Linked DNA regions of Diceros bicornis minor. The protein of the gene in region 1 purifies or fractionates together with the protein of each later gene. This does not show direct contact. Links are inferred from orthologs where the notes say so. Each region holds a gene or a part of one and is shown on either strand. Other genes may lie near its edges.

What was found. The genes of interacting proteins can lie anywhere in the genome.
Region 2: the proteins of DBN1 (region 1) and TMOD1 purify together in Homo sapiens (co-immunoprecipitation; 3 studies listed by BioGRID and IntAct, with this or other methods). This does not show direct contact. The link is inferred for Diceros bicornis minor from reciprocal best matches to the Homo sapiens genes DBN1 and TMOD1.
Region 3: the proteins of DBN1 (region 1) and HOMER1 purify together in Homo sapiens (co-immunoprecipitation; 3 studies listed by BioGRID and IntAct, counting the BioPlex papers as one, with this or other methods). This does not show direct contact. The link is inferred for Diceros bicornis minor from reciprocal best matches to the Homo sapiens genes DBN1 and HOMER1.
Region 4: the proteins of DBN1 (region 1) and HOMER3 purify together in Homo sapiens (co-immunoprecipitation; 3 studies listed by BioGRID and IntAct, counting the BioPlex papers as one, with this or other methods). This does not show direct contact. The link is inferred for Diceros bicornis minor from reciprocal best matches to the Homo sapiens genes DBN1 and HOMER3.

Annotation. Positions count from the first base shown.
Region 1 is NC_080740.1:90,682,902-90,690,123, reverse strand, and holds the start of DBN1 (drebrin), read left to right. Parts: upstream 1-4,216; 5' UTR 4,217-4,285; coding exon 4,286-4,650; intron 4,651-7,222. UniProt on the Homo sapiens protein: Actin cytoskeleton-organizing protein that plays a role in the formation of cell projections. Required for actin polymerization at immunological synapses (IS) and for the recruitment of the chemokine receptor CXCR4 to IS.
Region 2 is NC_080767.1:7,812,073-7,819,902, forward strand, and holds the start of TMOD1 (tropomodulin-1), read left to right. Parts: upstream 1-4,813; 5' UTR 4,814-4,866; intron 4,867-7,830. Other genes in the region: TDRD7 (tudor domain-containing protein 7), read left to right, coding at 621-841. UniProt on the Homo sapiens protein: Blocks the elongation and depolymerization of the actin filaments at the pointed end. The Tmod/TM complex contributes to the formation of the short actin protofilament, which in turn defines the geometry of the membrane skeleton.
Region 3 is NC_080740.1:8,252,241-8,259,452, reverse strand, and holds the start of HOMER1 (homer protein homolog 1), read left to right. Parts: upstream 1-4,195; 5' UTR 4,196-4,988; coding exon 4,989-4,993; intron 4,994-7,212. UniProt on the Homo sapiens protein: Postsynaptic density scaffolding protein. Binds and cross-links cytoplasmic regions of GRM1, GRM5, ITPR1, DNM3, RYR1, RYR2, SHANK1 and SHANK3.
Region 4 is NC_080759.1:6,480,437-6,487,957, reverse strand, and holds the start of HOMER3 (homer protein homolog 3), read left to right. Parts: upstream 1-4,504; 5' UTR 4,505-4,645; intron 4,646-6,200; 5' UTR 6,201-6,268; coding exon 6,269-6,282; intron 6,283-6,362; coding exon 6,363-6,519; intron 6,520-6,766; coding exon 6,767-6,898; intron 6,899-7,521. UniProt on the Homo sapiens protein: Postsynaptic density scaffolding protein. Binds and cross-links cytoplasmic regions of GRM1, GRM5, ITPR1, DNM3, RYR1, RYR2, SHANK1 and SHANK3.

The DNA.
Region 1 (7,222 bases):
ATGTCCTGAGGCCAAGTCAGCTTTGATACCTTCCTTGAGGGCGAGCCCCAGTGGCCAGGGTTCCACGGCCAGGGTTCGGTTACTGGGCGTGGACTACACTGCTCTGTTAGTGGCCATGCTGTGCTGGTGGCCCACATACTAAAAAATAAAGGAAGATTGGCACAGATGTTAGCTCAGGGCGAATCTTCCTCAGCAAAAAAAAAAAGAAAGAAAGAAAAGAAAAAGGAAAAAAGAAACCTTCCCCGGGCCGGCCCTGTGGCTTAGCGGTTAAGTGCTCGCCCTCTGCTGCTGGCGGCCCGGGTTCGGATCCCAGGTGCGCACCGACGCACCGCTTCTCCGGCTATGCTGAGGCTGCGTCCCACATACAGCAACTGGAAGGATTTGTAGCTGTGACATACAACTATTTGCTGGGGCTTTGGGGGAAAAATAAATAAATAAATAAAAATTATTAAAAAAAAAAAAAAGGAAATCTTCCCTGAGAGGTGTGGGGGAGCACAGTACAGGAAGGTGGGCATGGGAGGGAGGAGGGCGGGGCTGCGAGGAGGAAGGGAGTGGGTTCTCACTTTCTAAGTTTCCATCCAGTTACATTTATCCTCACAACATGTCGTCAAAGAGGCAACTCAGACAGGGAAAGGGTTTTAGCCAAGCTCTGACAGTAAGTGACCAGCTTCTGGATCTGAATTCTCCTTTTTTCTCATCTTTTCTACTCCAGGACCCAGAAGCCATTGGACCAGCCACCCAGTGTGGGGGGAGTTCATGCTCTGGAGGTGGGAGAGACCTGATATGTTAGCACCAGAAGGGTGATCAGCGCTGGGAGTGGTAGATGTGGCGGCCTAGTGGGAGAACCTCCAGGAGGCACCCAGCACCCACCCACCAATGCTGAGTGTGTGGGTTTCAGGGGCAGCGGATGGCTGAAGGGAGGCAGGTTCACAGAGGACAGAGTGATCGGTGGTCACCCTGCTCCCACCCGGTTGAGGAAACTGAGGACTATGACGGGGCCACTGAATTTGGCAATTTAGGGGTCACTAGTGACTTTGGCCAGAACAGTGCCCGGGACAACAGGGGAAGGAGGAGACAGATTACAGATATATAAATTATCGGATGAAGCCAGTATAGAGGGGCAGAGTGAGAAGACCAGAAGGAGCAGGTCTCAGGACGTGGAACAGGGGACCCTCTTGCTCCCCTGAAAATACAGAAAACTGTGGACGGGGCACATAGGGACTCTGTACTGTCTTTGTAATTTTTCTGTAAGTCTAAAACTGTTCTAAAATTAAAAGTTTATTTAAAAATATAGATGGCAAAGAGGTGAGAATGGGTGTGGCTGGAGAGAGTTTGTAGGTGGCTAGGGGAGGCAGGAACTTGAGGGAGGGCGAGTGTGCACTAGGGCTTCTGTTTTTTGGTTGCAAATTGAGTGAGCAGGAGGCTGGGAAGGTGCCGGGAGGGGAAGGTGGGGGGAGTTCTGAGCCTGGATAAGTCACAGGAAGCAGGAAGGGACTGAGGCCTGAGACCCCTCTACCTACCCCTCCCTGGTACCCCTCAGCCCTGCTATGGGGTCCCCTTCCTCCTCAGAATCCTACTGACTCTGCCTGGGCCTTGCTCCAGGTGGGGGCCGTGGAGAAAACGCCAGGGCCAGGGGTCCACGGCATGGTGGGCGCAGAGATTCCCCAGGCAGAGGCCTGTAGGCTGTTTTGAGTTTTAAGAGGTTCCTCTTACTGCAAAACCCTGGGAACCACTGCTGGAGCTCAGTGCACACACTGCTCTCCTCCTCTTGGCGTGGCCCATCACCCAACTCGGAACTCGGAGGCCCAGGGGGACTCCCTCCTCCACCACTTCCCACACTGGACCAGGTAAAGCTTGCTCAGGTTCTGTCACCTCCCCGGGGAGGATGGGGGTGGGAGGCTTCTCAGAGCTGGGAAGGGTTTCGGGGGTCCCAACTCAGCAAGGAGTGGAGAGGTTCCAGGAGGCCCTGGCAGTGCACATTCTCCCTTCCTCAGCTCCTCAAGGAGTTGGCAGTGGTGCCAACTCCTCTGCAGGGGACTTCTCTGAGGCCCCAGAGCCTTCTGTGCTCAGAGCTTTGGGAAATAAAGGTGCTAGGAGGCTGCCCTGGAGTGTCCTTGGAGGAGTCCTGCCTGGGGAATCTGGGGTTAGATGCTGCTTCCGGAACTCTACTTGGGATTCCTCTGGGAGGCCTGAGGCTTGGGAGAGAAGGCAAAGGATTTCCTAGGCTGGTCCCCTGTGAGAGGGCCTAGGAGGCAGCTAGTAAGGGAGTTGGGGCTCAGCATAGGGGTGGGGCAGGGAAGGGGGAAGAGGTTGGGAATGCTGGGGTAATGAGCTGGGTTGGGGCTACGAATGGACAAGGAGGCAGGGATGGAGGGGTGTGGTTGAGAGCTGGGATCAGAATGGGAACAGGATAGGCTGGACTGAGGAGGGTGCAGCTAGGGATGGGGTATGGTGAACCGGTGGGGGTGCCTGCTAGGCAAGGGGTTGGGAGTGGGGCTGGAGCTGGGATAGGAAAGAAATGGGGCTGGATTTGGGGTGGGGACACAGATGGCGGTGAGCAGTGATGGGGATGGACTAGGAACGGGTGGAGACAGGCTGCAGATTGGCCAGGGGATGCTGGTATGTGAACTGGGTTGGAGCTGGGGGTTGAAATGAACCAGGAATGGGGGTGAAGCTGGGATGGAAAGAAATTAAGCACGGAGTGGGGCTGGGCCGGATTGGAATGAAGTGGATTTGGGATTGGAACTCGGGAGCTGGAAAGAGGAGGGGTGAAGCCGGGCCTGGATAGGGGTGGGTGAGGTGGGGACGGGGCTGAAACCCCGGGGCTGGGGAAGAGGGTGAGCGCTGAGGCCGGGGACAAGGTAGGTGAAGGTTTGGGACCCTGGTGAGACGGGCCTTGGAAGCCGAGAGGCTGCTCCGCCCGGGGGGGCGCGCAGGGGCTGTGGGTGAGGGGCACGGGGGCGCCCCGGGGCAGGCCGGGAAGGGGGGGCGGGCCTCCCCCTGGGCCGGGCCGGGGCGGCGCTAGGACCGGGCGCGCGGAGGGAGCGAGCCGGGCGGAGCCAGCGCCCCCCGCCCCCCGCCGGCCGGCTCCCCTTCCCCCGCCCGCTGGCTCACTCGGCTTGCGGCGCTGCAGAGGCTCCGAGGCGGTGGCGGCGGCGACTCCCTCTTTTCCTCCCTCCTCCTCTGTCCGTCCGTCCACCCGCGCCTCTGTCCGTGCGGCCTCGGTCCGGCCCGCAGCATGGCCGGCGTCAGCTTCAGCGGCCACCGCCTGGAGCTGCTGGCGGCGTACGAGGAGGTGATTCGGGAGGAGAGCGCGGCCGACTGGTGAGCCCCCCGCCCCCGCCCCCCGGCCCTTTGTCCCCGCGCCGCCGCCGCCGCGCCTTTGTTTCCGCGCGGCCCGCCGCCCCGTAGCCGGGAGGGAGGGGAGACCCCGAAATGGTGCAGCGGCCCGGGAGGGCCGGGGAGGGGCTGCCTTTGTGCGCGCCGGGGGAGGGGCCGGCCGGGCGGGACAGTGCCGGGCCCCGAGCGCCCGGAGGCGGCCCCAGTCGCGCGGCGGAGCCGTGGCGGGATGCGGCCCGGAGAGACGCAGGGTCCAGATGTGTGGCCCGGGGCCGCGTGGCCCTGCGGGAGCCCCTTCCCCGCCCCCTGCCCCCGCCCCGGGCCCGGGGGACAGGTGTGCACGGGACGGCCAAGGGCACCTTCGCCACCTTCGAGCGGGCGAGGACCGGGCGGGGATGGGGCGGGGACCGAGCCAGCGGAGCCAGCGCAGCCTGCCTGGCCCAGCCCGGCCCGGCCGCAGCACAAAGGAAAGCCAGGGCGGGGGAGGAGCGGGGCGGGCTGGGGGCCGGGGCGCCCCGCCCACCGGGGGGGCCTCTCCGAGTTGGGATGTGATGGAAAGATGTTCACTGCCACATGGCAACCGCCAAGTGACTCCTGTTCCCCTCAGGGGTCGCGGGGGAGGCAGGGATGAGTCCTCCTCTCCCCGATCTGAAGGGGAGTGCAGGGACGATCTGAAGGGGAGTGCAGGGACGGATCAGCCGGGCTGGGTGATGCCAAGGGGACCCAACTGCCTACCTCGCCCGCCCACTGGGGTCCCTGAGAGGAAGCCGTCAGGCACAGAAATGTGGAGGGAGCCCCCAGAGAGGGATGAGGGGGTGAGTGGATCCACTGAGTCCCTAGCTCCATCACCCAGTGTCAAGGGGCTCGTGGCTCTCTGGTGAGGGAGGAGCTAGGCTGCCCTCTTGCCGCTCTCCAGCTGTTGTCTCCCCTTGAGCTGTGGGAGGGGATGGACTGCCTGCTCTGGAGCCGGAGTCCCCAGGGTGGCAGGAGAGCCAAGGGGTTCCACATTGCTCCATTCAGGAATCATCTTCCCCTAAACACTCTTGCCCTGGGGCAGGTGTCCATTCTGTTCCCTAGGCCCCCTCTTCTTCTGGCAGGCAGGAAACTGAGGCACAGAGTGAGGGCAGGTCTGAGGAACCTCCCTTGGGCTGGCCTCACCCTCATGCTGGGATGGCAGTCAAGTAGGGATACTGACCTGGGGGCTGGAGGAGGGGACAAGATGGCCAGGCGTCCATGCCACAGTACTGCAGCACTGGCGGGCAGCCAGGCCTGGAGGGATGGACGCCAGAGACGAGCTCTCATGTCTTGCAGGTCAGTCATGAGAGAGGTCAGCAGAGGCTAAGCGGGCAGGCGGCCCACCCATTGTCCCAGCCCTGCCCCTGGGGGGCTGAGATCATGGGAGGAGTTCAGGGTAGGTAGCCAGCTTGACCTCATGGAGGAGCTGGCCTTGGGATATGGGCCCTGCCTGGAGAGAGGCACAGCCCACCTCAGAATACCCCCCTCGCCCTCCAGTATGGTGGGCACTGTCCATCACCGCCCCATTTCCCCCTGGTGGCCCATGCAGGGTCGTACAGCCACTGCTGGCCCGCATTCTGCTCAGCAGAGGCCTGGGCTCCCACCACCCAGCAGCATCCATGTGGCCAAAGCGAGTTATTCATCAGTAGTGTACGTCAACCCCCATCTGGGTTGTGTGTGGGACACACACACAGATGCACACACGCACCCTCACACATACACACATTTGCTCACTCCCAAGGGCCCAGATAGCATTTCGTGAAAAGGGTGTGAGGATCACATCCTGCAGAGGGGGCTTGAGTGCCTCCAGCACCCAGCACAGAGCCAGCAGTGCAGGGGGTCTCAAGACTCAGGGGCAGACTCTACATTCAGAGGCTGCAAGAGGGCGTCTTGGGTAATATTGCTGTCTGGACAGAGGAGGCTTGGCACTGCCCTCCCTGACGTTGCCTCTGAGTGGGGGTGTGGGAGGGAGCTCACTCTGAAATGGACCACTGCCCTGGCGCTGGGGGCGGGGGACCCAGGAAGTCAGGTTTTATAGTGGGAAGAGCCCGTGTCGCCGTGGACGTGATACGACTCGCTGTGTGACCACACACAAGTTCCGGCTGCTCTCTGGTCTTCTTGAAAACAGGAGGAGGGGGTTGGCTCAGCCATCTCTGGGACAGCCGGGGCCCTTCCAGCCCTAACGTTCTGAGTGTGATTGTCCTGAGGGGTCTGCCTGCTCTCAGCACCCCCCATCAGCTGACCCAAGGATCTTCCTGCTACATTTTGGCTCCCCCCACCCCAGTCCAGTTTCTCTGGCCTAGGATGGTTTCTCGGAGTCTGTGTCAGTATCACAAACACCTACTGCTGCTGCTCTGGGCTGGCCCCAGAACCCAGAGAGTGATATGTTGATTGATGGGGTTAGTCATCCTGCCTTCACGAAGCTTCCAGTTGGAAGCGTCTGTCTCCAGGAGTGGAGCTAGTGAGACATAGATTCCAGGGCCCCCATCCTGATTCCTTGCGGTTTCACCAGCTCCCACCCTTCCAGGCCCAGGCTGCCTCTGATGTGTTTTCTGAGAAACATGGGTCTAGTGGGATCTGGGGTGGGCTCAGATGCCCCTTCCTGTCCCTGCTAGGGTGTGGTAAGTGCTCTGGGGAAGGGGCCGCTCAGGACAGGGCTTCCTGGGGAGCTGGTATTGGGTTCCTGAGGGACTTCAGCCAGGGGTGGGCATGGGGTGCAGAAGCAGGTCTGGCCTTCCTGAATATGCAAAGGCTTGAGGGTGGGAAATATCCAGAACTGTGTTCGGGATCAGGGAGCCATCCAGTGTGACTGAAGTATGTGGTGTGGATACGGACATCTGGCTGGAAAGGCAGGTGGGGCAGAGCTCAGGGTTGAAGGCCTGTTGAAGGATTTGAACTTCGCTATGGTTTCCACCAGGTAAGGGCTGTGGCCACAGCAGGGAAAGGTAACTGGAGGTGAGGAGGCAAGGGTTTAGAATGGAAGGGCAGGGCAGGTGTTCCTGGGAGGAGCCAGGCCCACAGAGAGGCTGACAGTTCCGCTCAGGGAGATGGGATGTCTAGAGCAGTGTCTGGGAACCAGGGTCTCTGAGTTCTGCCTCAGTGTCTCATCTCATCTGTGGAATGGAGAGAGGCAGACCCTGCTTCTCTGAGAGCCCTTTGTTCCCAGCGGTGGGCTAGGGCAGCCGGACAGGTGGTGGGACAGCTGTGCTGGGAAGCAGCTGCAAGGGCTGGGGCCCGGGCAACAGTTGGACCAGGAGCCTGTGGCCCCACAGCCCACCTGTGTCGATTTCAGAAGAGAGGGATCCTGAGAAGTGGGAGGGCTGGGGGGCCATTTGACTTGTCCTGATCTCATGGGGCTGGACCAGGCCCTCCTTCCTTCCTTCCTCCCTCCCTTCCTTCCTCCTCCCTCTTTCCCTTCCTCCCTCCTTGCTTTCTCCCTTCTTCCTGCCTCCCTCTCCCTTCCTCCCTTCCTTCCTCCCTCTACTTCCTCCCTCCTCCCTCTCTCCCTTCTTCCCTCCTCCCTCTCCCTTCCTTCCTCCCTGTACTTCCTCCCTCCTCCCTCTCTCCCTTCCTCCCTCCTCCCTCTCTCCCTTCCTCCCTCCTCCCTCTCTCCCTTCCTCCCTCCTCCCTCACTCCCTTCCTCCCTCCTCCCTCTCTCCCTTCCTCCCTCCTCCCTCTCTCCCTTCCTCCCTCCTCCCTCTCTCTTTCTCCCTTCCTTCCTCCCTCTACTTCCTCCCTCCTTCCTCTCTCCTTTCCTCCCTCCTTCCTATACCCCTTCTTCCCTCCTCCTTCTCTCCTTTCCTCCCTTCCTTCCTCCCTCTCCTTCCTCCCTCCTCCCTCTCTCCTTTCCTCCCTCCTCCCTCTCTCC
Region 2 (7,830 bases), on another chromosome or scaffold:
CATGGGGATTTAGAAATGCATGGGACTTAAAATAAACGATAATTAAACCGAGGCCTGAGAGATCAACTGATTTGCCCAAGATCACACCACTTGATAGAGGAAGAGCAGGGAATAGTAACTGAGTCTCCAGACTTTCAGTACAGTGCTTTACCATGATGTTGTATATAATTTTGAAAAATTAGTATACTGGAAGTATATCAATTCTTTTTTTTTTTTTTTTTTTTTACTATACCTGGTTCGTCAGGAAAAAAAATCTGTAAAAGAAGTGTTATTGATATAGTGATATTTTATTCCCCCTAGTTATCTCCATTATCAGTTTAAATCTGCATATACTTTATGTAGGGGAATGGGCAGTAGTTATTATAACTTCATTTTATAACACAGCATTAAATCTCAAATGAAACTTGTGTCTATAGGTAAAGGCTTACAGAAGTATCCCTGTTCAGAATAGAAAAAACTATAAGCTGGACTGCTTTAAGATTATTCAGCAACTGTTTTTCAGTTAGGCAAGTCTAATCTGCTATGTTTAAGCTACTTTGGAATTGACTAAATAGTTTTCCATTATAATGGATCAAAGAAAAGCTCATTTGACCCCTCACTACTCCTTGTCTTTCTCATAGGAGTGAAGTGCAACCAGTGGTCTGAGGAGGCTTCGATGGTGTTTCGAAATCATGTGGAGAAGAAACCTCTGGTGGCATTGGTGCAGACAGTTATAGAAAATGCTAACCCTTGGGACCGGAAAGTGGTGGTCTATTTAGTGGACACATCGCTGCCAGACACAGATATCTGGATTCATGATTTTATGTCAGAATATCTGGTAGAGCTTTCAAAAGTTAATTAATCACTGCTTCTGAGACCTTGACAACTAATTCAGATTTTTTAGCAATAACAAAATGTAGTAGGCTTTAAAAAAAATCTTATCTCTGCTACATGGCTCTGACTGCTGTGAGGGATTGAAAAGAATATGCTTATGTTTGATGAAAGATATTTAACAAGTTTTATTTTAACAGAGTTGACTTTTCAAAGAAAATTGCACTTGAATTATTACTATAATATTAGAATTAAAATGTTTATCAATATAAAAACTGACTACCTTATAATTTCTAGGCTTTATGATCTTAAGATGAAGAGTTTCCCTCTCTATTCATGTTGTCTTCCTTCCAGTGCTGGGTTCTTCTCCAGTTAGAGCGAGAATTTCATGACTTAACTCTACTCTGGTGTAGTGGTGTATCCCAGAGCAAGTGGTCCCCAAACCATGTGAAGACTATCCTGAGTCTTGAACACATGAGCATTGCTAATAGTGCTGCTAGAGGAGCAGCCCAGGCAAACCAGCATGCCCCTCACCCCAAATCTTGAGTGGCTTCTCATCGCCCAGAGAGTCCAGACCAAAGACCCAGCCTTCCCCCGTCTCCTTATCCAACTTCAATGTCCACCACTCCCCGCACCAGCTACACTGGACACTTACCTGGTCCCTGAGCCCCAGGCATGTTCACCCAGGACAACTGATATTCTAAAGCAAGCCTTGCTCCCCTCCAAACTATGCTTGTTCTATTCCCTCAGCCTGCAAATCATTCTCCCCCATCCACTTTTGTTTGTCAGCCTCCTCGCTGACCTCCTGGACTGGCCATGAAGCCTTCCTGGTGTCTGTCCTACTCCACTGTACTTTAAGTATGCCTCTCTTGGTGCCCAGATCTCACTGAGCTTTCTAGTATATAACTGGTTGCCTCTGCACCAACCACCCCAACTAGATTGTGAGCTCCTTGAGGGAGGAAGAGGTCTTAGTCATCTCTCTAGCCAGTGAGGTACTGGTGGATGTTTGACAACTGGTTCTGGTGGGTGTGGTGGGGGAGTGAACCTTGATTTGTAGCGTCTGACGATTCCCAATTTGTAAATACTCCCACTATTGTTGAGTTCCAACAATGTGACATCTCTGTGGAGTTGGGAAGAGAGGCACCCAAGCGGCTCTTGTGAGCCTGTACAATGGACTCCAACGCCACCCTCTGTATCCTCCCCAATACACAGAATGATTTCTTGCACGTGTCAGGCACCCATATGTGCTTGCTAATTGATGGGCAGGCTGGAGCGACAGCGGGATGGGTTGGAGGCATTAGCAGGGATCCAAAGATGAGGCGGGGAGGCCCTGGACGAAGAGTGGAGCAATGGGAATGAGGAAAAACATTAAAGGCTTTTTGAAGTTTTTAATTAGAATTATTAGAGCTGACATCTTAGATACAGAAGATAGGGAAAAGGAGGTGTCGAGGAGTGAAGCCAAGTCTTAAGGTCTGAGAGGGCCTTAGGATGATGACCCTTACTCAGGTTTTGACTGGGAAGCTTAAAATTTTGAACATACTGAGTTTAAACTAATAGACCTCTGTGTGAAGATACGCATAAACTATTGGAAATATGGAGTGGATTTCAGGGGAGAAGACTAGGCTAGAGATAAAAATTCTTAAAGTCATTATTTTTATTTGAGAAAATATAGGAAAAGTGAGAACAGAAAGAAGGTAAAGACAAGATGTTTTAATTTTTTCATGTAAAAACGCTGAAATTATCTTTCTAGCTTTTTAAAATTTGTATTTAATATTTATAATTAAAGTGATCCAAAATTCAGGAATGCTTATGCCAGTGACTTAATCATTTATGATAAAAATATCCTGACACATAAATGTTTAAGTGAAATAAAGTAGTGTAAATGTTTTTTATAATGGTTTCTCTCCCTAACAAAAAACAACAAAAATCCTCAAATTATCTATAGATAAGGAAGAGGTGGTCTCTATTTCATTGAATAAAGCAATTAATTATGTTGTTTGTGTAACTGAAAAATTAATCTGGTGCTAGGACAGTTTGGCAGACAGACAAATGAAACTTCACCCCGACCTCATGCCATTTTCAGAAGTCAAGTCCAGGTGGATTGAAAGCCTAAACATGAAAGGTTGCTGTAGGAGGACAACATAGGACAATAGTACCTCTATAATCTGGAGTAGGAAAGATGTCTTAAACAGGACACACAAAGTGCTAACAATAAAGAAAAAGAGGGATATACTAGAGGACATTAAAATGAAGAACACCTGCCCATGAAAAGACATGATGAAGGCGAAAGGCACAGCACAGAGGGGAGGAATATCTATATCGTGGGAAAATATGCTGTATATAGTCAATAAACAAAAGATTCTCCAGAAGCAAAATAGGCAATACATTTCAACAACCACTTCACAAAAGAGAAAAAGCAACTGGCCAATAAACTCGAAAAAATGCTCAACCCATTAGGACACAGGGACATGCAAATTCAAACCTCAGTGAGACACCGGGACTCAGGCACCAGAATGGCAAAAATGTTTCTGTTTTTGTTAATTCCTAGCGTTGTTGAAGATGTCTGCACTTCTGTAGGAGGGTGCTGGTAAAGAAGCTTCACAGCAGCACTATTTGTAACAGCTAAAACCTGGAAACAACCCAAATGTCCATTAATAGTAAAATGGACTTTTGCAAAACTGGTATATTCATGCAATGGAAACCTCTGCACCAATGAGAGTAAACCAACTACAGTCACATGGAACAGCATGGATTAGTCTCACAACATGGAGTTGAACAAGTGAAAACAAACTGGAGGAGAGAGGAGAGCAAGGAGGTGATTACCATCAGAGTCCAAGTGATCACGTTTAGGAGGGAGTTGTGACTCAGAGGGCAAGGCTGGCTCCTGAGCTGTCCGCAATGTTGTTTCTTGACTGAGTGGTGGTTGCAACAGGTGTTCTCATGATAAGAATTATTGACCCTGCACACTTATATTGTATGCACTTTTCTTAAATGTCTGATTCCACAACAAAAGCGTTTAAAATAAAAAACCTAGAATATTAAATCATTGCTTTATTTTAAAATATATGGCACATACCCCTTGAAAAGAGCATTCTCTTACAGCTGGGAGGGTTTTGTAATGTAGGAATATATTTTCATGGAAAACAAGATTTAAAAAAAAAAAACAACCAAAATCAAGGGTTTCCCATTAGTAATCTATCCACCAGGATTAAAAAGAGTTGATATTATTAGGGTCTACCCCACCAGAAACTTTCCCACAATAATCCAAAGAGACTTTACCTTCTGTCCATACAAAGTGCTTTTTATGAGCCATTTTTAAAATTAAAACACTTAAGTTTCTGTTTGGGTTTAAGTGGTTTGTTCTGGCAAACATATTAGCCGTTTAAGACAGTGGGACGTTTTCGTTGTGGTTAAGTTGTTGTTTTGGACACTCCATTCTCTGAGTGCGAGTGCGTTCGGCTCTGTTGGAGCTGCGTGTTCACAGATTGGTCGTTGTTAAAGCTCCGGCTCCTAGCGCACTAGCTGGGCTGCTGCCAAGAGGGGACGGGCCGTCGCTTCAGTCGCAGGAGGGAAAGGTGCAGCAGCCGGTCGGCTGGCTTTGCTCCATCCAAGGTCCTACCGATTCTTACATCCTAGACCCCGCGGGTATGAAAATCCGCCCACCTTTTTCCAGATAACTCTACCGTCGCTTAAACTCCTCCTGGTACAAGTGGAGACACCGAGACAGACTGGGGGCAACCCGCACCCACTTGGCCGCGGAGCCAGGCTTCGGGGCGGCCTGGCCCCTGCCCCGCGCTCCCCCAGCGGGTGTCGCTCCCCGGCCGGGGACGGTGTGCTGCGCCCCGGCGCCCCCGAGTGGAGGGAGAGGTAAGGAGGGCGAGGGCGGCGGCGGGGCGGGGCGCGGTGACAGCGCGGAGCCGGACCCGCCCCTGGCTCCCACCCCCGGAGCCCACAGCGCCCGCCCGCCGCCCGCCCGGGAGCTCCTCCAGCCCCGCGCTCCGCTCGCCCGTCCACCGGCCGCCCGCGCCCGCGCCAGCCCCGCGGCTCTACGGCCCGGTAAGCCCCCCACCAGGCCAAGGGTCCCCCTCGCGCTCGCGGGGATCCCTGCCCCCGCGCCGGGGCCCCAGCCATATCTGGGCAAAATATTCAGCTGTCGCCGCCGCCGCCAAGAGGGACTGAGCGTGGCTCCCTCTATAAATAGCCGCCGCCTCGGGTTGCCTCCAGCGCTGGGGAGTCCGGGTGTCGGGGTCCGAGCCCGGCGTTCCGGTCCGTGCCGCCCCGCGCGCCTGGCCCTGGCCGGGGCGCCCTCCTCTCTGGACCCCGGCGCTGCGTCTGTAAACGGGAGAAGGACCCGTGGGCTCTCGAGGAGCATCGCAGAGGGCCGGGGTCCTGGCGGAGAGGGCGCCCCCGCCGCCCGCTGGACTCCAGCGCGGCGGGGCTCCGCGCCACCGCCGCTCTGCTGGTGCAGGTGCCGGCCCGAGCCCGGCACGGAGGCGCGGCCTCCCTCCCCCTGCGGAGAGTTCGGGGTGGGAGTGGGGGCGGACGCGCTCGGGTGGACGTGGAACCCGGGTTCGGGCTGCGCCTGTTGTGGCAGGAAAAGTTTCCCAAACTGCGTGAGATGGCGAGGTGTAAAGCACCACGATACGTGCGTTTCGCGCCGAGGTGGAGCGAGCAAGAGCCCGGAGGCAGGAGCCCTCTCGCTCGCAAACTCACACGGTGGCCTTGGCAAGCCCCCCCCCCCCCCCCCGCTTCTCTGGGCCTCGGTTTCCCCGTTTGTAGGGGTGGGGTTTGGTTCTGGCAATGGAGCTAGGAGCCGGTCGTGAGAGCAGCGGGGCGCGCTCTTGACCGCTGGCGCTCACCCCACCTGTTCCCGGCTCCGGGCCTGGGACTCTTGGGGCACAGCCGCGCACGTCCTGAGGGGTGGTGGAAACCGGAGACTTGGGCGATCGCTCTGATCGGGTCGTATATTGGGACCTACTAGGCCCCTCGGAATAGCCTGGGTCGTACACCCCCAGGAAGGGCGTCCCCGGGTCATTATGGGCGTCTCTCTGAGTGGCAGCCATCACCTTCGCAAAGCAGCGTGTGACTCAAACAGCTTTAGACCCGATGAACTGGGCCGGGCCAGAGGCTCCAGCCCAGCCGCTCCCTGGCCTCAGTTTCCCCGTCTGTATAGTGCCTATGATGCGGCCTCAGAGCCTTCCTGCCGTTCCTGACCCTGCACTTGGCCTCGACCTTCGCCCTCTCAGACTCTTGGAGATGACCCGGCCCACGCGTTTCCGTGTCCGAATTACAGAACCAGACTCTAACCCAGGTTCTGGCCCCTCAGCGGGAGCACCCTGAAACTCCCCGTCTTTCTCCGGGTGGTGACAGCCATTTTGTTCTCCGTGAAGGGCCGCAGAGCCCCCTGCTCAAGGTCACAGCCGGTGGACTCCCCAGGAGGTCTGCGGTCTCCAGCCTTTCTCAGCTCTCTCCTGACACTTCCTGCTGGTCAGACAGGTCTCGGGGGCCTGTGAGCACCCCACCAATGCACCTCCTCTCTGATCTGCAGCTGTCCAGGACTTCCCCTTGCCTGGACAATAGCGCCCTCATCCTGAAGCTTCCTTTCTGCTCTACTTTACTTTCTATTAGTCTATACTCTCTAAAGCCGTCTCAAAGCCTCACAGATAGAATTAAGAGGAAACGGAGACAAATAGCAAGGTTCTCATTAATTTGAGCCACACAACAAGCAGGCAGAGAGTGAAAACAAGGAACCCTGTCGCTTCGTGTATTAGTTCTCTTGACTGAGCCAGTCTTGCAAACTCACATTGTAGATGGTCTTAGCCCTTGAGTTCCCCCCAGCCTAAGTGGAGAGCCAGTGTCCTCTTAAAATAGCCTCCACCCCACCTTATCAGAGCCTCACACCTTCTCCCTCCTCCAGGGTAGGGCTGCTTCCTGCAGCTCAGCGAAAACACAGAAACAGGGAGGACGCAGCAGAGCTCTGAGTAACAGGAGGTGGACTGGCCTGGAGGTTGGGACACCTGCCTCCAGCCCCAGCTCTGTCACCCACTTAGAGTGACCTTGAGCTGTGAGGGGGTGCACAAGGTCGTCTCCAGTGGACCTGGAATCCAGAGGGCTCCGAGTTTCCCTTGGAAGACTTTCTGGCATGAGAAAAGTGAAGGGACGAACTCCAGGGGAACGCACCCTGTGAAGGGGAGAGACAGAGTGGAAGAAAAGTGGCCTCCCAAGAGCCAAGGGAGAAGAGAGGTCGGCAGTGCCGTTTGCTGCGGAGAGACAGAGGGGATGAGGGCTAGGGAGGGGCCTCCAGGATTGGCAGAGGGTCATGGGTGACTTTAACCAGAGCATTGCAGAGGGTTCAAACATGGGATCTGCCCCTGCCTTACTGGGGCCAGTGACCCAGCCTGTCTGACGGAGCCTCAGTTTCCCCCTCTGTACAATGAGGATAATAATAGCCCCATTTCATAGGGGATGCTATGGGGATTGAGTGAGATGATGCAGGGAAAGCCCTCAGCCCAGTGCTTGGTACCTGCAATGGTGTCATTAGGTTTAGTGAGGGAAGAGGCAGAAGCTAATGGGAGCCGAAGCCGTGGAGACGAGCCTACAACTCTTCCACAAGCTCGGATGAGGAAGGAAGGGCGAGGGCAGGTAGCAGGAGCTAGAGGCAGGGCACAGAGAGGAGGCAGGTGTTTCTGGGATGAGGAGTGTGAGAAGAGAGGGAGGAGGCTCCGGGAGAGGGGAAGAGGGTGAGAGGAGACTCCAAGGGGTGCGCACAGCCCTCCTTGATGACCTGCTGACTGCCCTGGGCTCGAGAATCACATTCCCCTAGAATCCAACTGAGCAAAGAAAGGGTAAAATGAAGCCGGTCCTGGCTCAGACCCGAGTGTCCCCTTGGCAGTCTTCAGTATCCACGAAGGAGGGTGATGAAGGGCCATGAAGGGTAGTTTGCCTCTGCCCAGGGGCCTCGTGACCTTGGCTTGCTTATTTCTGAAATGACATCATCTATTGATGACTCTTGCTGAGCCC
Region 3 (7,212 bases), about 82 Mb from region 1:
AAGAGTAAAACTGTCCTCAAGCCATCGTGTTGGAGGTGCCAAACACTTCTACTCTCATCCTTGAGACCATTAACTAGCCTGTTTCTGTTCAGAACATTATTGGTGATAACAAAAGACGGTTGTAAACAAGCCAAACACATTTTACTGACATTCAGTATCTGCTGTGTTCTGGAGCAAGTGGGATGCCTTTGGAGAATCAACCGGATAAATTCTGTTTCCCTACAAATCCTTCATTCTTTTCTTATCACTACTTTTAGTCTTGACTGCTTATTTAGTTTCTTCCTAACTGTGTGGCATAAACTAGGAATCTTGATATTTCTATGTATGCAGAGATATCTTTTAACTTATTATTTCTACCTATGACTTTATTTGAAGCAATAGTGGTATTTTGGTAATTAAAAAGAGGGAATTTGAAAGGGAGTTGCTATTATCTAATGTTAAGCAATTAAAAACAAAATCTGGCTTTAACCCTCTTTCCCGCAAAGTTTTTCTATCTCCTGGATGTCTTTTCATTGAAAAAGAGATATCTCATGACCAGTCTATGAACACCCCATTGCCATCTCCTATTAAGGGCACGGAAGTAAACTCTGTAACTAAAACAGATGCCTTCGCCCACAGGTTCTAAAATCAGAGGATATTCATAAACCTCTCCACAAATTTTCACAGTGTAGTGGGAAATAGGAACTGTTAAAAATTTGAAACTCTACTAAAGTACTTTCTGCCTCTTCCGGTAAAAGAAAATATATTACTTTCTAGGAAGCTCACTACTTGAAAAAACATACAAAGCAATCAGGGTTGGAAATTCATGGCTTGCATTTGGGTTACATGAGCTCAATTTTAGAAGAAAAGATATTTACTTTTAGATGGAAAGTCATAGAATGGTTCTCTGACTCCTCTCAAAATTGTATTGGAATTGTTTCAAGAGAAGAGAAAAGGCACTTACTTTATTATTTTTTTTCTGAGCAGATATTCCATGATACATGTTTTATTTATTCCTTTGGGTACATAGACATATGTATTCCCTGATATACTAATCCCACACAAGCTAGAAAGAAAAATTGACCAATTATTGGTAGAATTTTCTAGATTAAGAGTGGAGGCTGAAGTTAAATAATCACATAAACCTTGAGTAATTATATCACAATGCACAATTCAATTTATATAGAAAAAAAGTTGCTCTCAATTTTCAGTCAACAAAAGAGCAGTTGAGAAGAAATCATGTAGCTTTGAAAAGTAGAAACTCTAATGAAGGGTCACCATTCTAAAAGCAGCTGATGTGCTGTTTTGACAGTTGGGTAAAGATGAGGGGGAATAAGACTGTAAACCAGAGGAAGTCTTGATGAAAGGGTAGAATGAAGTGTTTGAAAATGGTAAAGTGAAAGCTTTAATTAACGTGGATGGAAAGAGCAGGAAAGAGAGAAAAGTGATTTAGTTCAGATAGGAAATAGTTTGTAGAGAAATTTTAATAGAGTAATAATTTGTATTTTAATTTGCAAGGGCCAAAGGGATGACATTATTTGAAAAATGACAGTTTTATTGTTTTAATATTTTATACATAAGTAAGAAGCTCCATTCATCTGAAATATAAATCAGTACTATTAATACGATAGTATATGTTAAACAAATTAGCAAGCAGGGGTTTGCTTTTGATTAACTTTTGTTATAACCTTTAAAAAAACTACTTTCAATATTTCAAATTACAAGCAAGATCATGATTTTATAATGTGAAGATAACCAAAAAGCCTGATTTAGTTGCAAATCGGTCCTAACTCTTTTGGCTAGTGTCCTTTAATCTTGGACTCCTAACTCAATCAAGAAAATGTAGATGCAGAAAGTTGAAAAACCAAATTTTTTTTTAACCACAAATGGTATAAATTCGGTGGAGTTCTAGCTTCTTTTATTTAAACTGTTCTGATATCCATTTATAGCTCTCCTAACAATCATTTTATAGATTGGTAATCCTATGTCCTGGATTTTCCAGGTCACTTCAGATTTCATGTATTTGGTTTCTTGTCAAATGATGTGTCCGGATTTTGGTTTGGAAAACGTGGTCCCTGAATTTATAGACTAACTGTGAAACAGCGATGGCCTTTGGCATTATGTAATAATCGTATTTCTGGGTCATGATTATCAAATTAAATCAAATCAAAGCTCATTATTTGAGTCTACCTAATAATAAACTATCAAAATAATGACATTTTAAAACTTTGTAGAAATTTGCAATTTGAAAAGCATTCATAATATGATTTATTATAGACACAAACACACACACACGGCTAATAAACCTATAAAAGGCTACTCACCCTTGCCATATAGGAAATGAAAAACAACATACTTCAGAGATACAGTAATTACATATTACATGGTCAAAGCCAAGGAAGACAAAAACAATCTAAATGTGCTTGTGTTAATATTATAAAAAGGATTTGGTGGTCTTTCTTATTTTTAATTTCCATAGACTGGAACTCATATTCTCTATAAACCTGAACTGAGAGGATATATACTGGCATTTGCTATGCGTGTAACAATAACCACGAGTGAACTTTCTAAGATTGACTTATCCTATGCCAAAACATTGCTGTTTTGCAAATGAAAACATTTAGATGATTTGATGCCCCCCTTAATTACTATTCTTTATAACATTACAACATTTGTTCATGGCTCCGCTCTTTATCCTTCCGTGATTTAGGTAACCACTAAGCAGAAAAAAAAAAAAAGTTTTAAAATCGACTGCGTCCGGAATGGCATTTAATGTCTTTCGAAAATTAAGGTGATTTTCCCCAAGTCTTGTTGGAAACCTATCTACCACTAGTGAGCAGGCTCTCCTCCCACATTTCCGTGCGAGTTGGGACTTGAGAAGCCCGCGGATGCTGCTGCAACAGAGGTGGGAGTGGAAGATTCGATGTCACCCGCTTGACACTTCAGCAGTGTTGCTATGAATGATTCACTTGTGTTTGGCACATTTGTTGCAAGGAAATCTCCTCCTCCCGCCGCTTCCTTCGCCGAGCTCCTCTCGGGCTGTCTCCTGTGCTTTGGCCTTTAAGCTGAAGCGAGAGCAGGTGGGCACAGAGCAGCTCGCGGACTCCTCCTCCCCCTGCTCCTTCCCTAATTTAGCAGTACTTCCGGCCGCGTGACATCATCCCCCGCACCCCGGTGACGTGAGCGGCGGGTGACGTGTGTGCGGAGAGAAGCGCGCTGACGTTGCTATTTAAAGGTCCTCCTGCGGGGAGGATGGAGACACAGCGCGAGCACCTGGTGTGGGGTGTGGAGGAGGCAGTGGCGGCCGGGAGCGGGGCCAGAAGCCAGCGGAAGAGCAGAGCGCGCGGGCCGCCCGCCGCCGGCCGCTAGGGGAGGGGGGAAGGAAGGAAAGAAGGACGGACGGACTGACGGACCTGCCGGCCGGACTTGCTCCCCTCGAGGGCCGGCTGGGCCGCTGACCACCAGCCTTCCCGCCGCCCGCGCGGCTGCCGCTCCCTCCCGCTGCCCGCAGAGCCCCGCCGGGCATTCGGGACGGGTCGGCGCGCCAGCCCCCGGCGCCCGGCCGCGGCTCCGCGGGGCCGGCCGTCTCCCGCCCCCTCCCGCGAGCAGGGGGAGGGCCCGCCCCCCGCTCTCCCCGCCCCCTGCCCGCCCGGCGGCCGCGCTCGCCTCCCGCGGGCGGCGCTGACTGGGAAGTGGCGCGCTCCGCTCCGCGAGCGGCCGGTGGAGGCGGAGGCAGCGGCGGCTCCAGGCCGCCTGGGCCGGCGCTGCTCTGCCGAGCGGGAGCCGGAGGCCGGGGGAGGCGGGCGGTGAGGGAAGTGTGAGGCGGCGGCGGGGCCCGGGGACTGTGGCGGCGGCGCGGAGCGGGAGAGGCGAGGAGCAGGGTGGGGGCGCTGGAGTAGCGGCTCTCCCGCGGCTTCGAGCCCCGCGCCCCTGCCTTCGACGCGAGAGTAGCCGCCCGCCTCAGCTCGGGCGGGCGCCCGTCGACCTTCCCGCCCCGTCCTCCGCCGCGGCTCGGCCCGCCCCGGAGCTGGGGGCCGGCGGCGGCGCGCGGCTCGGCTCTGTGACTCATTCATTCCCCGCCGACGGGAGCCTCGGACCTGCGGTGCTCCGAAGAGAGGAGGGGAGAGGGGCCGCGGCGAATGAAGGGCCGGGCGCGAGCCAGGCTCCATTGTGCTGGGCGGCGGGGGGCGGGCAGGGGCTGAGGGAGGGGGATCGCGCCCCCGCCCCCCGCTCCCCGGCGTGCGCGGCGCCCCCAGCCTGCTGCCAGCCTGGAAATGGCTCCGTCTATTCTCCTCGGGAGAATGAAGCGATCCTGCCCAGCCTGCTCTTCCTCCTCCCCACCGCCTCTCTGCTCCGAGTCTTAGAAGGGGAGACGTTTCACAGACAGACTCCAATGTGGAGTGCCGTGCACGTCGCGAGCTGCAGGGTTTGCACTTCGAGGAGATTTTTCTACATCGCTTTTTCTAATGTGAGCGCAGGGAAGCAGTGGCATTACTGCTTTTAGGATTTTTATTTTCTCCTAGGGCTCTCTAAAGTGCACGTCGCATTGGGTTGCACGCTCCACCCCCAGGGACCTGGGGTGGGAGAGAAATCTGAACCCGCAGCCTTAGTAGCACCGAAAAGGCCGAGTTACCTGCTTCTCTCTGAGTGTCGAGGAGGACATGAGCGAAATGACCACCGAACTCATTTTTTATAGGACTCGGTGAAGCTGGATTCTGCGCTTTACGACACAGACTCATTTTGTGGAATAGAGTTGACCGCTGTCTCCTCCGCGCAGCATTTTAACTCCAATAAGCAAATGCCCCCTCTGTTTGAACGTTTTGGTATTTACGAGGGAGAAATCATTTTACCTAAGGGAACTAATTGAATTGTCAGCATCACTGAAATACCTCCAGAAAAGGATCTCGGGGGGTGGAAAAGCGACTGCGAAATAGCAGACGGAGAAATTCCTTTGGAAGTTATTCCGAGCATAAGAGCAGAAACTTCAGAGCAAGTTTTCACTGGGCAAAATGGGGTAAGGATTTTTGTGTTTAACACAGCTTCGAATCTGCTTATGTATGTGTGTTATTGAGCGGTGGTGGCGATTGTCTGGGTTTTGTGTTTTCAAGCAAATTCCACCTTGCTAAGCTGGTCGTACTTGAAAAATATAGGTGTGTTAGCATTTTAACAAGTTATTTTTGTAGAGTGACGCCGGAAGTCATAATGAAGGAACATACGTATATCGTTTGTAACCAGAATATAGTTTTATTAGTAATGTGTAAGAAGACAACACAGTCTGCACTTTACTGGTTACACTGCCGCATTAGTTTGTACTCGAAATCGTGTTTTAGGTTTTGTTGCTGATATCTTTCAAAGAGAAGTACTGCGTTCTCTCAGTACTTTGAGAAGAATCAGTTGCACAGAGGAACAATTGTACAGTAATGGGTGGTTAGACTACAGCCCTTGAAAATGATCCAATGTAAATTGTTGCCCTTACGGTGCCCTCTATTTTGCCCTTGAATACCCAAAGCTAAAATGTGTAGAAGTGATTTATTGGAGCATTAAAACGAAAATCTGAAAGTCTTACTGATGTGGTCTGCACATGGCCGATGCACTTGATAGGAGATCAGAGCTTGAATAGGAAACAGCTTTTTGTTGAAGGAACTTGGTCACTTTTTCTGTTTTTTGCTTTTAAGCTCAAGTCTTCAATTTGTGTTAACAATGTCAGATCTACACCTTCTTTCAAATCCAAAGTCAGCCAAGAGTGCATTTTCCAACCTTTTATTAACTCTTCACACAATAACTTAGTCTTCCTAGTTTAAACCAGAAACCCATAATATATTAATGGAGTAATGATCTGGTCATTTCATTGACCGATTGTCAATGCTTTTTGTCGAAGAGGAACTTCCAGAATTTTCTTTTCTCTCTTTTTTTTTTTGTAGTTGAACAAACACATCTAAAGGGACAGGAATTGAAAGGATAGACTCTGAAATTCACTGTGACAGTATAAGGGGTGTGCACACCTAAACTTTCTTTCTGGAAACTTTCAGAGGAAAGTTCTTAGATAGTATTACCTTTTGTGTTGGAGTTAAAATTTGAAGTTTATTAACTTGAACAAATTTGAAAATGTAGATATTGTAGGAGCCCTTGGTCAGGAATTAAGGAGAAAGAGCGATAATTGTTTTTTAAACTTAAATGACAAGTGATGAGAATATATATAACTTGCATAATTTGGGATGCTGCTGAGAGCAGTTAAAATACCTCATTCTATTTCTAGTGCTGCTATTAGTAGCTTGGTGATCTGAGGCAATTACTTAACCTCTGTGGACTCTGTTTTCTTATCTGTAAAATGAAGGAGTTAGGTGAGTTTAACAAAATTTTGTAATCTGTAAAAGTGAATTCTTTTCTTTTTCTCCTCCTTTCTATTTTAATGATTACTAGTTGGTTTGAGGTAAATCTTTCAGATGGAGAGATTGTTTTCTCTAAGCAGTTTTTAAGCACGTAAGCTGGAAAATAATGGCATTTGAAAAATGTTTTGGATGAGTTGCACCAATTTTAATGAGACAGGATACTGAAAAATACTACTATTCAGAATCTTTGAAATATGGCTTCCTTTAAGAATCTGCAGCTCTTCTGTTTAAAACATGTCAGAGCAAAAAAAAAAATGAGGTGGCAGTTTTTCCTGTCGAAGGCTGCATTCTCTCTAGACTGTGGAATAGTAGCATCGTGGAAGAAGATTGGTTTTCCACAACCTTTAAGCTGCATGAATGCCCATCATTTTACCAAGGGAAGCTTGGGATGAACTTAATAACAGGGAGACTGGTGTTTAAAATATGAAAATAAGCTGCCACACGTAGCAGCACATTTTAGATACTTTAGGGTAATTAAATTTGTTTATAAACTAGTATATTTGCCCTTAATAAAGCCATAAAGGTGGACTGGAGAGGAAACGGAGTGTTAAAAACATTATTTTTCTGAAAGTCTATATTTGGGGCTATGACTTTCTCATTGATAGTGACTTGTTTCATCTGAGTTGTCAAGAGAGGATGGGTAGGTGGAACTAGAAGAGAAGGGCATGCAGAGAAGGCATTTGTGGAAGTTTCCACACTGGGTGGGTGTTTATGCCTAATAAATGTTTGCAGAATAAGCATAGCCTCCTGCACCCAGTTTTACCCAGGCAGTCCTAAATTACCTTATTCTGACGAGTATCTAAAATTTAATATTGTGGGTGAAGTGTTTCACATGTCATTAATA
Region 4 (7,521 bases), on another chromosome or scaffold:
AAGCCTCAGGCCTCTACCCGAGATGGGGAAACTGAGGTTCAGAGAAAGGGAGAGTCTATCCCCATTCTGCACATGTACAGACATCTAGTTCTCTCCCAAGAGCTGAAACCCTGGCCTGGAGCCTGAAGTGTAAAGCTGATCACTTCCCTCTCTCTCTGGCTCCAAACTCTCCCATAGCTCCCCAGCACCTAGAGAGGTGAATCCTAACTCAGAACAAAGCCTACACACCTCACCACTGCCCATGAGGTCCAACCTGGCTCCTGTGACTCCCTTAGCCCTCAGTGCCCCCTACTCTCTTCCCACTCACTCTGCTCTGGCTATCCTGGCCTCCCTGCTGTTCCTCCAAAACACCCAGCCCATCCTTGCCTCAGGGCCTTTGCACATGCTGTGCCCTCTGCCCAGAGCACTCTTTGTAAGTTATTATCTTCATTTGATCCCTCAGGAAAGGTGCAAAAAGAGAAGGTCACGTGTCCAGGAACATGCATCAAGTTGGTGGGAGTGAGGTTTGCACCCTGGCCCTCTCCCACCAATGGTGCCACGTTTAAAACAGGCCTCCAGACCAGTCCACCGTGGAGCTAGATGATTCTCAGCCCCTCCAGGTCTTGCTGCCTCCAGGTGGGTGCCAAAGACCCTCAGGCCTCGGGCTCAAGTCTCCCTGCTCAGGGAGCTCCTGGGCCAACCCGACTGACCCCCAAGTCTCCCAGCGTCCCTCCTGATGTGGCCGCAATTCTTTTGCCCCACTTTCTGCCCTTCACGCAGGCAGATGGCAGAGCCCTCAAGGACGACATAGCCAAAAATAATCGGGCTCCGACCTACCTCCCCAAAGTGGGCCAGCCCCGCCCAGCCACCTGGCACGGTGCAGGTAATTAGTGCATGTGGCAAATGAGGGTAATTAGGTCTGTGGGAACCGAACCGCAGATCCAGGTCCGGAGTTTGGAGGGGGCTCGAGGATGGCCTCCCCCACCCCCAACCCGCCCTGGTCCTGGGAGCTCAAGTCCATAACCCAGAGCCAAACCCTCCCCTAGCCCCTTCATGCCTGGGCCTGAGGGGCCTGGCTCTGTCACTTCCTGGGAGCTGTTTGTTTAATGAATTAAACCTGGCCTTGGGTTGGATCTAAATTTAAGGTGGGGTCCCTGTCAAATGATAAAAACTCACCAGTATTGAGTCATCGAACTCTCCTCTGCCATGACCCCAATGTGTCCATCCAATGCTGGGAGATGCCAAGCCCGAGGGAAGCCAGGCTTCCTCAGTGCCTGCACACTTCCAGGTGCCCTCAGGCTGGGGGTCAGAGCTGAACACAGACGCCACCAGGCCTTTGGGGTCAGGGTTTGGCCAGAAGGAAGGAGGGTGTTGGGAAGAGTCCAGAGGGAGAGGAGGGAGGGCTTTTTGGAGAAGAGGGCATTGGAGGTAGGGCTTTGAGGGATAAATAGGAGTTTTCCAAGAGGACAAGGTCTGGTGGCTGGCCCAACTGACGATGCTGGGGGAAGGGGGAGAAAGAGGAGGAAGATGGCTGGAGGGGCACAAGCGCCTCAGAGCTAAAGATTTAGAGGATATCATGCCAGGTTGGACCCATTTCTGTCCTCAAGAGTTCATGCCTGGCTGGGACCCTTCAACTCCTAAAAGAGAAAATCTTAAGAACTCGGCCCAGGATCAATACCACATGCTGGACAGCCAAGAATAAATACAATGTTTATAATGGCAAGCATTTATTAAGCTCCTAGAGTCACGCCTCTTCACGCAAGGACTCCTTGGATCCTTACAGCAAACCTCAGAAGTGGGCACCATTCTTATTCCCATTTTATAGATGGGGAAACTAAGGCACAGAGAGGGAAAGTGGCTTCCTTAAGGTCACACTGCTGGTAAGAGGCAAGGCTAGGATTCACTCCCTGGCTCATGTGACTCTGGACCACCAAAAACCAAGGCTGGGGCCTAGGGCTCCTCGCCTTCTGGAAGCATTTACAGAGTTCCTGCTGTAGGTCAGACTTGCTCTAGGTGCTGAGCCGTGGAAGAGGTGGACAGTAACCAAATCACACACAACAGGTCTAAGCGGCCACTGTGACCTGTGCCACATCGTTGGGCAGGTGGCTTTGGGAAGAGTGACAGACTTACCCTGATTTGGTGGGACAGCAGCTCCCCAGAGAGGACAGACGATTTAGCTTTAGTCCAAAGGTTGGGTCAGATTGAAGTAGGCAGAGGACAGAGCTTGACCCCTAAGAGCCACTCTGCAAGGGCAGCTTCCCTAGAGCAGAGCAAGCTGTTCCAGTCCCTGTTTGGTCCCTCCTGTGACAGGGAGCTCCTTCCCTCATGCCTTCCTCAGCCCCAAGTGAACGCTGTTGCTTCTAGCCAGCCACCCTGTGGTGATGGCCTCTGCCACCCTGCAAGGACATCCCCAGGCAGCAGAGGGCTCAGGCTGCAGGGGGCTGCAGCTCAGGGCAGCCCCCACCCATCGATACCCAGGGGACAGTGAGGAGCTGCTGCTGTTGCCTGGCTCCTCCCTGCCTCCTCCCCCACCCCCAGCCCTGCAAGCATCAGACCATTGTCCGGGCAAGAAAACTGAGATCCACACTGATAAAGCCGTTCCTTCAGTCTGGACTTGACTACGACAACTTCAGGTCAGGGCTGCTCAAGGCTAGCCCTGTCCCAGCCACTCCCAGAGGTCTGAGAGGGGGCCCTACTCTCCCTCATGCTGTTGCCTTCTGCCCACATACGCAGGAAAGTCTGCCCGGGCCCCTGGCCTAGCCACCCCCAGAGAATGGCCACGTGGCCCCAGCTCTGCAGCCGGCCAGCACTCAGCACATCCTGAGTGGCTTCCAGAAGCCTCGACCCTGCCGGCACCTTTCCAGTTACTTTTTTTTTTGGTTATTTTTTTGGTAATAAGGAAAAGTCACTCTTTGCACAGAACAGACGGTATTTTCTTTGTTCCCCACAATGTTCAAGCATTTTGTGGCTTTGGGCCTGAGAGCGAAGCCAAATCCTTTGTCTGTGCAGATGCCTTGTGAACTTAGAAGCAGCTGGGGAAACTGAGTCTGTGCCTCAGTTTCCCCAGCTGGGGTAAGCAGTCCCTCTCGTGCCGGGTGAGGCTGGGGCTCCAGGACGGGTTGGCCCTCCAGGAGTACCCAGAAGTAATAACCAGGTAACACAGACCAGGGATCCCACAGAAAGGGATGGGGTTGTGAGTAGGGGAGGGTGAGATCCCTTCCAAGCCTGGGAGAGTCAGAGAAGCTTCCAGGAGGAGAGGGGGCAGCGGAGCTGAGCCTGGAAGGAAAGGAAGAATACATGCCTGTGGAAAGAGCACTCCATGGGGAGGAGACAGCTTGGGCAAAGGCCTGGAGGGAGCAAAATTCAGACCTTGGCCTGGGAATAAGTCTCCAGAAACACCAGGACCTGGAATTCCCTAACGGGAATATGAAGGCAGCTCCTAGCTCAGATGTGTGGTTCTTGTCAGGAGGAACAGAAATAAAAGAACAGGGAAAGGGGACAGGGGCAGAGCAGATGAAGAGCAAAACCCCTAAGGGTGTTGGAAAGCTCAGACCTGAGGCTCAGAGCTTCAGGGAACTGCGGGCCGGTTCTGAGGAGCCCCGTGCGCTGCCCACCAAGCAGACGACTCTGTGTGGCCCCAGAGGAATCTCCGGAGAAAGGGCAGCCTCGCGACTAAGTGGGCCCCACAGGCAGGCTGGGGCCTGGGGAGGCCGATTCCGGCTCAGCTGCAGAAAGAGCCTCTCCTGGCAAATGTATGAGGGCTGGGCTCCTCCAACCAGAGGTGGAAACCCAGGCCCGCAGACCTCCAGGGGATTCACCCATTCGGTGGGAACTGGACACCCACCTTCCCTCCGCCCTGGATTCTGGGACCCTGGGATACAGCGATAGTCATCGTAATCTAACCATCACTAGCATTGCTACAGTGGTCTCAGGGGAGAGAGAGGCAGACAGAAGCCTGAGCCTGGGGGATCAGGGCTGGGCGGGAGGGCAGGCAAGAAGGATTCTGAGCAGGGCACCCAAGATCAAGCCCCATTAAGTGTCTACTGGTTGCTTCTCTCAGCCTCTTCCCGCCCCCTCTCTGCCCAGGTCTCTCTCATTTCCTGGCAACATGCACTGAGCACCTACTGTGTGCAGGCCCTGCACCCACCAAAGTGGCAGATGTGCCTCTGTCCCTGCACGCCCCTCAGGTGGACAGGGACCTGACTCCCATCAGGGGCAGAAGGCAGCAGTGACCTGGAGTGTCGGGGTCACCCTTGACGAGAGAACGAAGCCACATTCCCCACTGTCCATCTCTGTCTGTCTGTCTGTCGTCTCCTGTGTCTCTGCCCCCACCCCCACCCCATCCTTCTTCCCCACCCTATCCTTCCCCACCCTGAACCCCCTCCCCCGCGCCGCGGAGGGCCGGCAGGGGGCGCTGCGGGGCGGCCTCGGGGCCCGGGGAGGCGGGGCGGGCGGCGGCCGCGTCGGACCCGCCGCGATGGGACCGGAGGCGGCGCGGGCGGCGGCGGCGGCGCAGACAAAGGCGCGGGCGGCGGCGCGGAGGGCGGCGCGGAGGGCGCGGGCCCCGGAGCCAGCGAGCGAGCGGGGCGCCGGGCAGCGGGGAGTCGGCGCCGCGGGGTCGCACCCGACTCGCTCCCGGACACTCGCGAGGCGCCGAGCCGGCAGGGTGAGCCGGGCCCGCCGAGCCTGCGCGGGGGCGCGGGGCCCCCGAAGTTCCCGGGCCGGGGGAGGGCTCCGGGGGTCCCCGAAGTTCCGGACCTGGAGGCTGGGGGCGGCTCGGGGAGCCCCGAAGTTCCAGGGCTTGAGGGGGCGCCGGGGCCCCGAAGTTCCGGAGTCGGGGTCGGGAAGGGACTGTGCGAGGGCTTCCCAAAGTTTCGGACCGGGCGTTGGAGGAGGCTGCGAAGGTGTCTCCTAAGTTCCGAACCGTGGGTGTGGGGGCGGCACGAGGGGACCCCGGAATTCCCCACCTGGAGATGGAAGGGTGGCAGAAGGTCCCCGAACTTTAGGAGTCGGGGGCGGCGCGGAGGGTCCTCGAAGTTCTGGACCTGGAGTTGGAGGAGGCAGATAATGTGCCCCCGAAGTTCTGGACCTGGAGTCGGGGTGCGTCGCGGGGGTCTCAGAAGTTCCGGGGTCAGGAGCCGCGCCTCCCGAAGTTGGGGCGCGCGCGGGGCGCCCCGCTCCTGACGGCGGTGGGGACTCGATCCTGACTGACTGTCAGGCCCCCGGCACTGGGGCGCATGGGGTGGGGCTTCGCCCCCGCACGCGATTGGGGCTCCCCGGCACCGGGCAGGGTCGGGCCCCCTCCGGGAGCCCCGCGGCCGAGGCGCATGACTAGCTGGTGAGTAACTTTCCCCGAACGCCAACGCCGCAGGTCGCGGCAGAAGCGTCGGTGCCGGAAGGGCCTGAGTTCCTGGGACCCCGGCGCCGGGAGCCCTGCCCCAACCCAGGACCCACCCCCAACCCCGCCGAAGCTGCCGCCCCTCCTCCACCTAGGGGCTCGGGTTTCAGACCCTGTGACCGGGACAGCAGCTGCCCAGGACAGGGCTGTGCCGGGGCCTCCCTTCCCCCCCGCTTTGCCTCCCCCTCCCCCAGGTCCCTCCAGGATCTGGATCCCGCCCGGCCCCCCATGGTGTCGGGATTGAGTGGCATGGGAGGTCTGGCGGTAGGCAGCAGGGTGGACCTTTTTGGTTACATCTTGTCTTTTTAACGAAGCTGGAGGCTTCCTGAGCATTGGACCTTGTCTCTAAGGTGTGCCTCTGCCCCAGAGTGGAAGCTCAGGTCTCTCTCTGAGCCCAGTGGGAGACTGGTTTCCCAGTAGGCCCCTGGCTGTGCCCCACTTTTTGATGGTGCCCTGGTTTGGGGAGTGATGGGTGAATGTGGCAGAAAGTACTGCGCGGGAGTTGGCCTTGGCCTCCTCAGCCCAGCTCTGAGACTGAGGGGGCTTCACTGGGGTCCAGTGACTGGGCCGGTGAGAGGTTTACACTGGGATGTCAGGGGCCCCAGCTCGTCTCAGAGAGCCGTCTCCTGCCCAGGGTGTTGTGGGGGCTTCCTCCAGATGGAGAGAGACCGGTTTTTTGGTTCTGAGTGATCTACTGAGTCCTTCACCTTTTTGATTGAAGTTCTGTGAATGGTGCTCCTGGTGGTGGGTCCTGAGGTTGGACCTGCTTGGCCTCCCTCAGCCTGGCCTGTGGGGGACACTCACAGGCCCCCTCTCCCTCCAGAGGTGGAGCCAGCAGCTTCTGCCATCCCCCTGGCTGCCTCTTGGAGCCCGCCCAGCTCAACCTGACCAATGTCCACAGCCAGGTGAGCCCCCATCTCCACCTGCTTGGCCCTGAGCCCCCTGGGCGGCGCCCAGCCCCACTGAGCACCCTCTCCCCGTGCAGGGAGCAGCCCATCTTCAGCACACGGGCGCATGTGTTCCAGATCGACCCGGCCACCAAGCGGAACTGGATCCCAGCGGGCAAGCACGCGCTCACCGTCTCCTACTTCTATGATGCCACCCGCAACGTCTACCGAATCATCAGCATCGGGGGTGCCAAGGTCCCTGCGGGGCCTGGGTGGGGCGGCAGGTGCCAGGGGTCCGAGTGACAGGCCTGGGTCTGGTCGATGCCTTGCTCTGTGCCTGGAGGAGCCCTAACCCTTTCTGGGCCTCTTCCCTTCATCCTGAAATAGTTCAGAGCAAGGACCTCCGCGGTGCTAATACAAAGTGATAGCCGGGTGGTGGTGGGGGTTTCATGTCCATTGTTACCAGTCCCACCAACCTTGAACTCTGCTCCCCCCTTCCCAGGCCATCATCAACAGCACTGTCACCCCCAACATGACCTTTACCAAAACCTCCCAGAAGTTTGGGCAGTGGGCAGACAGTCGTGCCAACACTGTCTACGGCCTGGGCTTTGCTTCTGAGCAACATCTGACCCAGGTGGGTCTTGGGGTTATGCGGGGGGAGGGACAGGGCTGCGCCTGGGTCTTCTCCTGGGTGCCCTGGGGACCCTGGAAAGGTGCTGGGCCTCCGTCTTCCCACCTGCAGAATGGGCGTACAGAATTGGACAAGTCAGAAGCCCCTCCTGGTTCCCTGGTTCGCGTCTCAGCTCTGCTGGCCGCCTGCTCCGATTTTGCAAACACCCTGCCCTCTCTGGGTGCCTGGGATGGGCTGGGCGCTTCCCCACACACCCCAGCACTCCCTTCGTCATCGCCTCCCTCCACCCCGCGTCCTCTCAAGACTTCAGTCTCGTCTTATCCATTGTCTTCCTGTATGGCTAGCGCCCCTGAGTCCTGCTGAGATCGTGATGATTTTCTTCTCTTTTCTTCTAGAAGCTTGTTTTCTTTTCACATTTAGGTCTTGAATTAATTTCTGTGGGTGGTATAAGATAGGAATATTTTTTCCATGTGAGTATTCAGTTGCTCTTGGACTGTTTTTTGAAAAGACCATTTCCCCCCAATGATTTGCACGGGCCTCTGCACAAATCAAGTGGCTGGATGTCTGTACATATTTTCTTTAAAAAATTATTTTCAAAGGAAGGAAATTTATTTTAAAATGAAAAA